Linked DNA regions of Sus scrofa. The protein of the gene in region 3 interacts with the protein of the main gene of each other region in a biochemical or structural test. Links are inferred from orthologs where the notes say so. Each region holds a gene or a part of one and is shown on either strand. Other genes may lie near its edges.

What was found.
Region 1: of the proteins of MAPK3 (region 3) and PTPRB, one has a biochemical effect on the other in vitro, tested with the Homo sapiens proteins (2 studies listed by IntAct). The link is inferred for Sus scrofa from reciprocal best matches to the Homo sapiens genes MAPK3 and PTPRB.
Region 2: of the proteins of MAPK3 (region 3) and PTPRJ, one has a biochemical effect on the other in vitro, tested with the Homo sapiens proteins (2 studies listed by IntAct, with this or other methods). The link is inferred for Sus scrofa from reciprocal best matches to the Homo sapiens genes MAPK3 and PTPRJ.

What each region holds. Positions count from the first base shown.
Region 1 is NC_010447.5:34,700,766-34,704,412, reverse strand, and holds part of PTPRB (receptor-type tyrosine-protein phosphatase beta), read left to right. Parts: intron 1-864; coding exon 865-1,128; intron 1,129-2,846; coding exon 2,847-3,128; intron 3,129-3,647. UniProt on the Homo sapiens protein: Plays an important role in blood vessel remodeling and angiogenesis. Not necessary for the initial formation of blood vessels, but is essential for their maintenance and remodeling. Can induce dephosphorylation of TEK/TIE2, CDH5/VE-cadherin and KDR/VEGFR-2.
Region 2 is NC_010444.4:14,592,296-14,595,942, forward strand, and holds part of PTPRJ (receptor-type tyrosine-protein phosphatase eta), read right to left. Parts: intron 3,208-3,647; coding exon 2,980-3,207; intron 303-2,979; coding exon 36-302; intron 1-35. UniProt on the Homo sapiens protein: Tyrosine phosphatase which dephosphorylates or contributes to the dephosphorylation of CTNND1, FLT3, PDGFRB, MET, KDR, LYN, SRC, MAPK1, MAPK3, EGFR, TJP1, OCLN, PIK3R1 and PIK3R2. Plays a role in cell adhesion, migration, proliferation and differentiation.
Region 3 is NC_010445.4:18,296,964-18,300,710, forward strand, and holds the start of MAPK3 (mitogen-activated protein kinase 3), read right to left. Parts: upstream 2,448-3,747; 5' UTR 2,427-2,447; coding exon 2,254-2,426; intron 1,214-2,253; coding exon 1,031-1,213; intron 1-1,030.

The DNA.
Region 1 (3,647 bases), on a different chromosome or scaffold from region 3:
ATGATTTTTGATGAGTCTTTTTTTTTTTTTCTTTTTTTTTTTTTAGGGTCACACGTGCAGCATATGGAAGTTCCCAGGCTGGGCATCCAATTGGAGATGCAGCTGTTGGCCTTCGGCACAGCCATAGCAACTCGGGATCTAAGCCACATCTGCAACCTTCGATGCAGCTCATGGCAACACTGGATCCTTAACTCACTGAGCAAAGCCAGAATTGAACCCCCATTCTCATGGATACTAGTTGGGTTTGTTACCACTGAGCCATGATGGAAACTCCAATTGGACTAGTTTTTTTTTTTTTTTTTTTTTTTTTTTTTTTTTTTTTTTTGTCTTTTTGCCATTTCTTGGACCGCTCCCGTGGCATATGGAGGTTCCCAGGCTAGGGGTCCAATCGGAGCTGTAGCCGTCAGCCTACACCAGAGCCACAGCAACACGAGATCCAAGCTGCATCTGTGACCTACACCACAGCTCACAGCAACGCCGGATCCTTAACCCACTGAGCAAGGCCAGGGATCAAACCCGCAACCTCATGGTTCCTAGTCGGATTCATTAACCACTGTGCCACTACGGGAACTCCTGGACTAGTCTTGATTAGTCATTTCTGAAAATTTCACTTTCTATGTTTATCAGAGGCCATTTGGCCAGCATATAGAAGACACTACCAGTTTTGTTTTGTTTTATTCTAATTTAGACCATATCTCTAGACCACATGCCCTTAAACACAAGTGACCTGAAAGAGAGACAAAGTCTGATGGTACAATAGGTCTGCTCACTATTATATGCCCAGCACAGCTCATGTTTTCACCTGTGAGCCAAAATGTCTTTGTTTCTTTTTTGTTTTTAGTGAAGGTTTTCCCTCTGTTTAAGTTCCAGCCTCTGTGAGCAACCTCAAAGGATCCAATCGAAACATGACAGACAGTCTCTGGTTCAGCTGGAGTCCAGCCTCTGGGGATTTTGACTTTTATGAGCTGATTCTCTATAACCCCAATGGTACAAAGAAGGAAAACTGGAAAGACAAGAACCTGACGGAGTGGCGTTTCCATGGCCTCATTCCCGGAAGGAAATACACGCTGTGTGTGGTAACTCACAGTGGAGATCTCAGCAACAAGGTCCTGGGGGAGAGCAGAACAGGTAAGAAGCCCTGTTGCCAATGGCCAAGGGTTGGTGGGAAGCAGCCTCCAAAGGTGCACTTCAATTACGGGTTTTCTTCCTGAGAAATAAAATCAATAATTCTGTGCTATGGACTAGCCTCTGACCTTGGGAAGGCCCTATAGTAAAGTGGAAAAAGGAGACAGGGGAGTTCCCATAACGACTAAGTGATTAACGAATCCAACGAGGAACCATGAAGTTGCAGGTTCGATCCCTGGCCTTGCTCACTCAGTGGGTTAAGGATCTGGTGTTGCCATGAGCTGTGGCGTAGGCCGCAGACACGGCTCAGATCTGGCATTGCTGTGGCTCTGGCATAGGCCAGTGACACAGCTCTGATTAGACCCCTAGCTTGGGAACCTCCACATGCCCCAGGTGAGGCCCTAGAAAAGACAGAAAGAAAAAAAAAAAAAAAAAAAAGGAGACAGACTTGGGGTAAAAAGATCTAGGTCCTTAGCTCTGCCACTTACTTATGTGCAGCTGGGCGTGTCACAAGCACTTCTAAGCCTCAGCTTTTGTAGCCATAAAATGGGGAGCATCATCATCATTACATTCCTCTGAGCAGTGCTTTCTTAATTTTCTTATTTCTTGGGCACACACAGATAACATTAATATCTATATGCTACCCTGGAATCAATGAACAAGGCTATCTGTAATTAGATGGAAGTGTCTATGGACTCTAGCCTTCACAACCCAAAACCTGATGGACTAAATACATTCTCATGGAGTTCCTGTTGTGGCTCAATGAATTAAGAACCTGACATAGGATCCTTGAGGATGCGGGTTCAATTCCTGGTCTCACTCTGTGGGTTAAGGATCTGGTGTTGCCTTGGCTGAGGCACAGGCTTGTAACTGCAGCTCCAATTCCACTCCTAGCCAGGGAGTGGCCCTCCTAGGCAGGTGTGGCCCTAAATGAAAAATAAATGAATATCAAGTTAAATACCTTTTCACACTTGTAACCTGTGTGGGGCACACTCATGCTCCATATCACCCTCATAAAAAAGTTCTGGTTATGGAAATTAAAGAAAATGTATATAAAACACCTGAGGACAAACTATTACATTTTGAATGAATAAGGAATGAAGTCCTACAGTACAGCACAGGGAACTATTTCCAGTCTCTTAGGATAGACTACAATGGAAGATAATATAAGAAAGGGAATGTATGACTGGCTCACTTTGCTGTAAAGCAGAAATTGGCACATTGTAAATCAACTGTACTTTTTTTTTTTTTTTTGTCTTTTTGCCATTTCTTGAGCCGCTCCTGCGGCATATGGAGGTTCCCAGGCTAGGGGTCAAATCGGAGCTGTAGCTGACGGCCTACACCACAGCCACAGCAATGCGGGATCCGAGCTGCGTCTGCAATCTACACCACAGCTCATGGCAATGCCAGATCCTTAACCCACTGAGCAAGGCCAGGGATCGAACCCTCAACCTCATGGTTCCTAGTCAGACTCGTTAACCACTGAGCCATGACGGAAACTCCAAATCAACTATACTTTTAAAAATGATTTAAAAAGACACTTGAGGACAGTGTCTTACACATGCTAAACACTATATAAATGGAAGCTCCTGTTATTATACTATTGCATTAACTCTTCCTAAGAAGTACATTAAAAGTACATCTGATGTCACTCAGCTGTCTTATCTGTATATCTCATGCAGAGAAGCGATTATGTATTTTTCACTTTCTCCTACATACAGCCCCGAGTCCTCCCAGTCTTATGTCATTTGCCGATGTTGCAAACACATCCTTGGCCATCACCTGGAAGGGGCCTCCAGACTGGACAGACTACGATGACTTTGAGCTGCAGTGGTTCCCTAGAGATGCCATCACAGTCTTTAACCCCTACAACAACAGAAAATCAGAAGGACGCATCGTGTATGGTCTTCGTCCAGGAAGATCCTATCAATTCAGTGTCAAGACTGTCAGTGGTGATTCCTGGAAAACCTACAGCAAACCAGTTTTTGGATCTGTGAGGACAAGTATGATATGTTTTGCTACTCTTGGTTCTCGGATGATGGGGGAAGGAAGTATGTGTTGAGACATCTTCTTCCAATGGGGCTTGGTATAAATTCACATTTTTACCTAGAGATTGGTTAGGTTTGAATTCAGGCAGACGTTCTATATAGATTTGTTCATTTATTCAATTTTAGCAATAGTGGACAATAAAGAACTAATCTCTGCCCTCGTGGAGCTTTCAATTGAGTGGGAGGTACTATCATTAAAAAGACATTTAGGATGTGATGAAGGAAGTATTTGCGCTAGAGAAACACATATAAGGGAGTTTCCTAGGAGAAGAACCATCCACATGAAGACCTAAGGAAGGAGTAAGACTCACCGGTGGAGACAGGGAAAGAAGTAAGGAGTATTCCTGGTAGAGAGAATAAAATATTCCAAAACCAAACAGAAGACAGGAATACAAAGGAGTTTTAGTTGGCTGGAGGATAAAAGGTGAGGATTAGGAGAATCAGATCATAAAATGTTGGGAGGCATGGTTATGA
Region 2 (3,647 bases), on a different chromosome or scaffold from region 3:
AGCATGAAAGGTTAACAAAGCAGGAGTGGACTCACGGGTGTACACCTGGAGAAAGCCCGGCGTGCCCGTGGAACCACCGTCGAGGAGAGGACACACCGTGATGTTGTACAAGGAACTCGATCTGAGTGGAGTGAGGACGGCCTGAGTCTCATTGACAGTGAGATTGAAGGAATCTGTCTCGCCAGCAACCTGTATCTCATAGGTATAGACGGAGGACGGCTCATGATCATTGATCTTCCAGGTCAGGGTCAAGCTGGTGGCGCTGATGTTCACAACTTTAATATCAAAAACCTGACTGGAATCTGCGAAGACACAAGAGGCGTTAACAACCACCAGAAGGGCCAAGCCAAAGAGAGAGACAGAGAGAAAGAGAGAGGAGCTGTCAGCAGGGCACATCATCCAATCTAAGCAGCACTCAGTGATTCTTCCTTCCAACTCTACACGTTTAAGTACAACTACAACGTACCCAACTGTATGGGGGTCCCAGCAGAATTCAGGCAGCATCTTCAGTGAAGAAACCACCTGACCACTTGCACCTGGGGAGTTAGTCTGTGTTCTTCTTTGTGAGCTGACTCTTAGAGATCGCAATGGACACCTCAAACAACATGCCCCCCACGAGGTTCAGGGTGACCCCAAAAGGTCTCAAGCATATAAACATACTCTACATGATCACTTAAAGATCACAGGCTTTAGCAGGGGGCAGCTCTGGATTCCAAGGTCAGCTCAGCTTTAATAGGCAGGTGGATCTTAGGAAAACCTGAGCTTCCTCATCTATGAAAGCAGGATAACAATTCTGACTCAAAGAGTACAAGTTATTCATCATTTGCACACACCACCCTCCCAAGTTACCCTCCACCTTCTTCTGCCTGTTCTGTGTCCAGGAGGCTGACCCCTGCACATTGCATCCCTGGGGCCCAGGTTGGGGGGTGAGTGGCATTCCTGCCAGGTGGCCTGGGACCAGGTTCCACCAACGGGTGACACAGGCAGGCTCCTGGAGGGCTGGAGGAGGAAAACAACTAGAGTCTTTCTCTGTACTGCCTCCTGCTCTGGGTCACCTGTTCCGGTCCAGCTGCGTCCTCCACGGCCCCAGCCCCTCACTGGGCTCTAGAAACACTGTCTCCTCCCCCTTGCTCTCCAGCCTGGGACATGATTTTCTACCACAACTAGTCTTGGGTGTCTCAACATCCTCCAGTGGTTCTCTTAACTCCACCTGGATAGTTACTTGAAAAAAAGTCTGGGTGTGTGTCTGTACATGAATATAGACACACATACATATACATACACCCACAGTAGAGAGGAGGTTAAGACCATAACATAACTATTACGAGTGTACATAATACAGATATCATTTATTAGGCACTACGACAATCAACACAAATCAGACTCTGTGTGTATCCATTTGTCCAAAAGCTTAACATATAATCAATTATTTAATTCCACTCGAATCACTTTAAAAAGGAGGGCCCCAGCCCACACTAATCTGCAGGGCCTCTTTTAGCAAATCAGGCAGAGAGACCCTCCTCTGGATGGCTCTGCCCTGGGGTGCATGGCTTGGTGAGGGGCCCACAGCCTAGATCCCAGCCCCCCTCACCCCTGCACTAGCATCCTGTGAGTAGGACAGCCCCATCATTGTCAACGGCACCCCTGGAGGAGCCCCTTTCCCCTCACCACCTTAGAATCTGGAGGGAGGGTCACCAGTCCAGCGTAGTCCAGACTTTCCTGGATGCTAGCCTGGTTTCTGTCCTTGACCTCCAGCCTCACACTCACTCCCTCCATTCTATGGGTCTCTGACAGCCTTTTGGAACAGATATATTTGGGGATAACATAACCAGAGTCGGTCTGTGCTGCCTGCCACCGAGCCCCTGAGGACTACAGGGCTGCAGCATTTGTTTCTGAGCCCACAGAGGCTGACCATGGACTTCTCATGTACATTTGCCTCAATTCCCCATCCATACGGGCATCCCTCGAGGGGAGGAGCCATGCGTTTCTTAACCCTCTCATCAGCACCGATCCCAAAAGCCTCTAAATATTGTTCCACATACAGAGTGGGAGTGCTGACAAATTAGAGATAGAAATATACCTGGCACTTGTGGGTGCCAGCAAATGTCACAGGAAGGTCAGCAGGCCTTCCAAGATCAGGTCAAAAGAAGAAACACATTTTCGTCTTTCAAGGGGAAAACTCCTAACCAACATGGACAAAGTGAAGATCAAGTTCAAGAGAAAAACATCACAGTAGTTGGACTCATTGGCTAGTCTGCAGAGTCAAAGGAAAGAGAGACTGAGGCAGCAGCTAGCGTCTGCACATGGCAGCTGCTCAACACGCTGCACTGAGTTCCATGAAAGAAGGGTCTCGGACACAAAGTGAAGAAGAAACAGAGTTTCCCGGCAGCCTAGCGGTGAAGGATCTGGTATTGTCACTGCTGTGGCTCAGGTCACTGCTGTGGAGCAGGTATGATCCCTGGCCCAGGAACTTTGTTTTTTTTTTCTTTTTTGTTTTTCCTCTTTAGGGCTGCACCTGCAGCCTAAGGAAGTTCCCTGTGTAGGGGCTGAATCGGAGCTGCAGCTGCCAACCTACACCACGACCACCACAACACCAGATCCAAGCGGCATTTGCAAACTATGCTCGTGGCAGCACTGGATCCTTACTTAACTCACTGAGCAAAGCCAGGGATCGAACCCACATCCTCATGGATATTAGTCGGGTTCTTAACCCACTGAGCCACAACAGGAACTCCATGGCCCAGGAACTTCTATATGCCATGGGTGCAGCCAAAAAAAAAAGAAAAGGAAAAGAAACTTACTGGATCTGCTCTGTCCAAAAATCTCTTCCAGAAAACTCCCTCTGACAACAAACTACTTAAACTCCCTCCAACAGCAAAACTACTTAAGAAGCAAGAGGTAATTCAGAACCAGAATCCCAGAAGACAAATTTTGTGCTAGAAAGCTCTGGCTGTGGCTATGTTACAAAATTCAACATACTTGTTTTGAACTCTGTGGCCTGGGGGTGTCCTTCGGGGCCATCTGCTGCCCGGGGATAAACAGTGGCCTTGTACCCTGCATCAGACTTTAACCCCCAAACCAGGACTTCCGTGGTGTCCGGGGTCAGAGAAGGGTCGGAGGGCAGGTCTGCAGATTCCAGTCGGTATTTGTACCCAGGGACGCCAGGGCTCCTGAGTGGCTGGGACAAGCTGTCTGTGTTGTTGGCATCTGTTTCAAACCAAAAAAAGCAAAGCAGACGTGACGTGCAACAGAAGAACAAACCTGTCTTCTTTCAGCGCCGCTGCCCTTCCCCCACCCCTTCCCCTCCCCCCATGAGAAGCCAACCCACCCACAGCTGCTACCACACAAATATCTGTTCCTTTCCTCCCCCAGAAGGATACACGCTCCTGAGAGGGCCCTGAGTGAGGCCGGTATGTGACTTTGCACTTTTATCCCAGGTAGCACCATAGACATTGGGGCCTCTCTCACCAACTCAGCTATCTGCATCTCTCCCCTTCTTTCGAGAAGTCACCTTTTCCCACCCAGCTCCAAAGATGGATTTCTCGGGACGGCCACGTGATCTGCACGTGGCTACTCAGAGCCCACTCACTCCAGAAACTCTGTCCTGGACCAGACCCCTGCAGAGAGAGGGCGAACCAGGCAGAACT
Region 3 (3,747 bases):
GCGACCTACACCACAGCTCATGACAATGCTGGATCCCCAACCCACTGAGGCAGGGGATCGAACTCGCATCCTCCTGGATACTGGTGGAGTTTGTTACCGCCGAGCCACGACGGCAACTTCCCCTGTTTTAAAGATAAGGAAGCCCAGCAAGGTGCAGTGACTTGGTTAAGGTCACACGGGAAGCTGGGGGTAAGCATGGAGATTTCCTGCCCACACTTTGTGGTGGGGGCTGCAGACACTGCAGTACAAATCCCCACTCTTGGGTGGAGGACTGGGACTGGGGGGTGGGGTAGGGGAGAGGCAATGGGTGTTACGAGCTGCTAACAGTGCCAGGCAGGAAGTGGACAACAAGCTAGGAAAGTGGCAATGGGGGGAGGGCAACGAAGGCAAGGCTGACCCTCCCTGGGCAAGGTGCAAGTCCACGGGGGATCAGGGTGGGGATCTAAGCGGGAAGTCCCAGAGACAGGAGGACAGGTTCTCATCTGGGGGAAGGGTGGAGGCAGCCACAGGCACCTGACGTTGGCCTTTCTGAGCCTCAGTCTCCTCCTCTTTGAAATGGGGCTGATGAGCCCCAGCGCAGAGGGCAGCTGGGGGTCAGATTAAGAAATGTCGACGCACTCGGTGCACAATGCACCCAGACTCATAGTAGGCCCTCAAAAAGGGGGCACTTTTCTTCCTTCGAGTCCGAGGACCCAGGCAAGAAAGAATCGCCCTCTGTTAAACAAAAGAACTGACTGTGGGCAGAGGCTGGGTCACGTCACAGGACGGCAGATGTCACAAGACAAAGCTCCCATAGACACCATCTTCCCCAGCCCCCTCCTGGGGCAGAGCTTAGAGAACAGACTTGCCCAAGGCCACACGGCCTGGCCGGTCCTCGTACACCTTGTGGCCTCTTTCTGCTGGAAAGTCTGTTGAACTGGGGTTGTCTGGAAGGGTGGTAGGGAAGAAGGAAACAGAAAGCAAGCCAACATTCTCCCAGCCCAGCTCTGAAGCTGTGCCCGGCCAGCCGTCTGGCCAAGGTGAAGGATACACATCCCTCATGGCTTCCAGGGTGGGTGCCCGCAGAATGTCTCGGATGCCAATGACGTTCTCGTGGCGGAAGCGTAGCAAGATCTGGATCTCTCGCAAGGTCCGCTGGCAGTAGGTCTGATGCTCAAAAGGGCTGATTTTCTTGATGGCCACTCGAGTCTTGCGCACATGGTCGTAAGCTGAGCTGAGAGGGCCGGAGAGATGTTGGTGGTGTGGCCTTACCAAGCGGGGGGAGTCCAGGCCCGGCGGCGGGCCCCACCCAGGCCTTGGCAGGGAGGGGAGGGAGCAGGAGAGACTGGCCAGAGCCAGTCATAAACAATGCTGGTTCCTTCCTGCTGTGAAGGCCTGGGATCTCCAGGGAGAAAGCTGGGGACCAGCCAGGCAGCCCTTCAGTGACTTCACAAACAGAGGAAGGGACTGACCGATCGCTGACTTCCCTTCTCCTCAACCCTTTCCATTCTAGTGGCCCTCACCCCTCATCCTCCCCTTCCCCGGATGGGCTCCCTCTACCCAAGACAGGGCCAGGGGCGGGAGGTGTGAGGGACATACAGGGAGGCGAATCCAGGAAGAAGGAGGGATGGGAGAGAAGGGATGCAGCAGGGGCGGGTGTCAGGGGGAGGTTCCCGGGCAGCAGAGCTAATCCCTGATGAACAAAGGCCCAGGGCCCCCAGTGGGGCTGGGAGAACTCACAGAGCCCTCCTGAAAGTTGCAAGAAGGCACTCCGGGACCCCCTCATTGCTCACTGGGTCCCTGGCCCCAGGCCCAAAGCCCTGCCCCACCCTGTCCAGCCCTGAGCTCTGCTCTTCTCTCCCAAACTCCTAGATTCGACTCCCGGGGGGCAGATCCCAGGCGCCCTTTCCCTGGGAAGGGTCCTTCCTGCCGTTTTCACCAAGGATATGACCTCCCCCAGAAGACTTATTCTCTTCTCTTCGCCCTGTGGCTATAGACTGCCCAAGGTCCCCACAGCTCCCCCACCTAGAGGCCCTTCCCTTCATTAGAGAAGGTTCCCCTCAAAACCCCCCAAGCCCCCCTCTTCTTAGATCGTAGGCAGCGCCCCCTCCCCCAGAAAGCACTCCAAGGCCCTCTCCCTGGGGCGCTCTCCAGCCTCCCGAAGCCCCTGCGGCTTCACGATGCTCAGAGACCCCAAGGCCTTAGAGAGCTCTCAGCACCCCTCCCTGGGATCGCCCTCCTCTAAGACGCCCCCTCCCCTGGAACGCCCCTCACCTGACCATGCCGTACGCGCCCTCGCCGATGTATTGCAGCTGCGTGTAGCGCGGGCCCACGTCGAACGGCTGCCCCTTTACTATCTCCACTTCCCCCGGGACCCCAGGGCCGACCCCATCGGCTCCCCGGGGCTCCCCGCCCCCGCCCCCCTGAGCCGCCGCCGCCGCCGCCATCTCCACTCCTCCCCTCCCGCCCGCCCGCCTCCCCCCCCGGCGGCCCCGCCCCTTCCCGCCCGCCCTGTCACCCGCGGAGCCGCGCGCGCGCCAGACCCCGCCCCCGCCCGCCCCCGCGCCCGTCACGTGACCCCCACCCCCCCGCAGCGGCGCCCAGCTTTCTGGGCACGGATGCCATGGTCCCTGGCACTTGTGGGCTCCGTCTACTCGGTCAATCTAGAAGCTCCCCAGGGCCGTCTGAGACGGTCCAGAACCCCACTCCCCCCCTCCAATGCAGAACAGCCAGTAGGGCCGCCCCAGTGACCTCACCCAGAGCCACCAAACAAGGGCTGGGATGAGGGGCCAAGACTGGGCCGCCTGGTCCCCGCTGCTTTTGCCAGCCCCACTCAGCCCGGCTGAGTGGTCCGGCTCCAGATGGAACCTTAGGGGACCCTCACCAGCCCTCTGGCGTTTGGCCTCCCTGAGCCCGGCCCGATGCTAAGTGATCCCATGCATATTTCACAAAAGCGGTGGGAGATGGCTTTCTCCTAGAGGTAGCCTGCCTTTCACAAATGAGGAAACTGAAGGCTGAGCAGCGCAAGGTCCTTTGGAATCGCGCAGACAACTTGAGATCTGGAAAGCCCAGGTGTCCGGACTCCCAGCCTAATGGCTTTTGACTGGAGGCCTGCCAGAGTGGGCTAGGGACCTGGCCTCAGCACCCAGGCGGTACTGGTATCCCCAGGATCATATCATTGATGATCCCATGCTTCCTTTACAGGGAAAGGGGGGGAGAGTCCAGAGAGCTGCATGCAAGGTTGACACGATCAGGCTTTGCCCAAATATAGCAAGACGGGTAACTTTTTTTCTGTCATTGGATTTGGCAAAAATTGGAATCCTGTTAAGATCATCATATTTTGATTCTGTATGAGACTTGAACATATACTTAATACTTGGCCCACTCTAGTCGCTTCATTAGAACAATCCCACAATATAAACGTCAACTGCTTTTCTTTCTTTTTTTTCTTTTTGCTTTTCAGGGCCACACCCACGGCATATAGAGGTTCCCAGGCTAGGGGTCCAATTGGAGCTACAGCTGCCGGCCTACACCACAGCCACAGACACGCCAGATCTGAGCCGTGTCTGTGACCTACACCACAGCTCAGGGCAACACTGGATCCTTAACCCACTGAGCAAGGCCAGGGATCGAACCCACAACCTCATGGCTCTGGTCAGATTTGTTAACCACTGTGACACGACGGGAACTTCTCATCTGCCTTTCTTAACTGGGTAGGCAGGGGCCATGTCTTTCTTGTTCATGGCTGAATCCTCGACCCTCAGACAC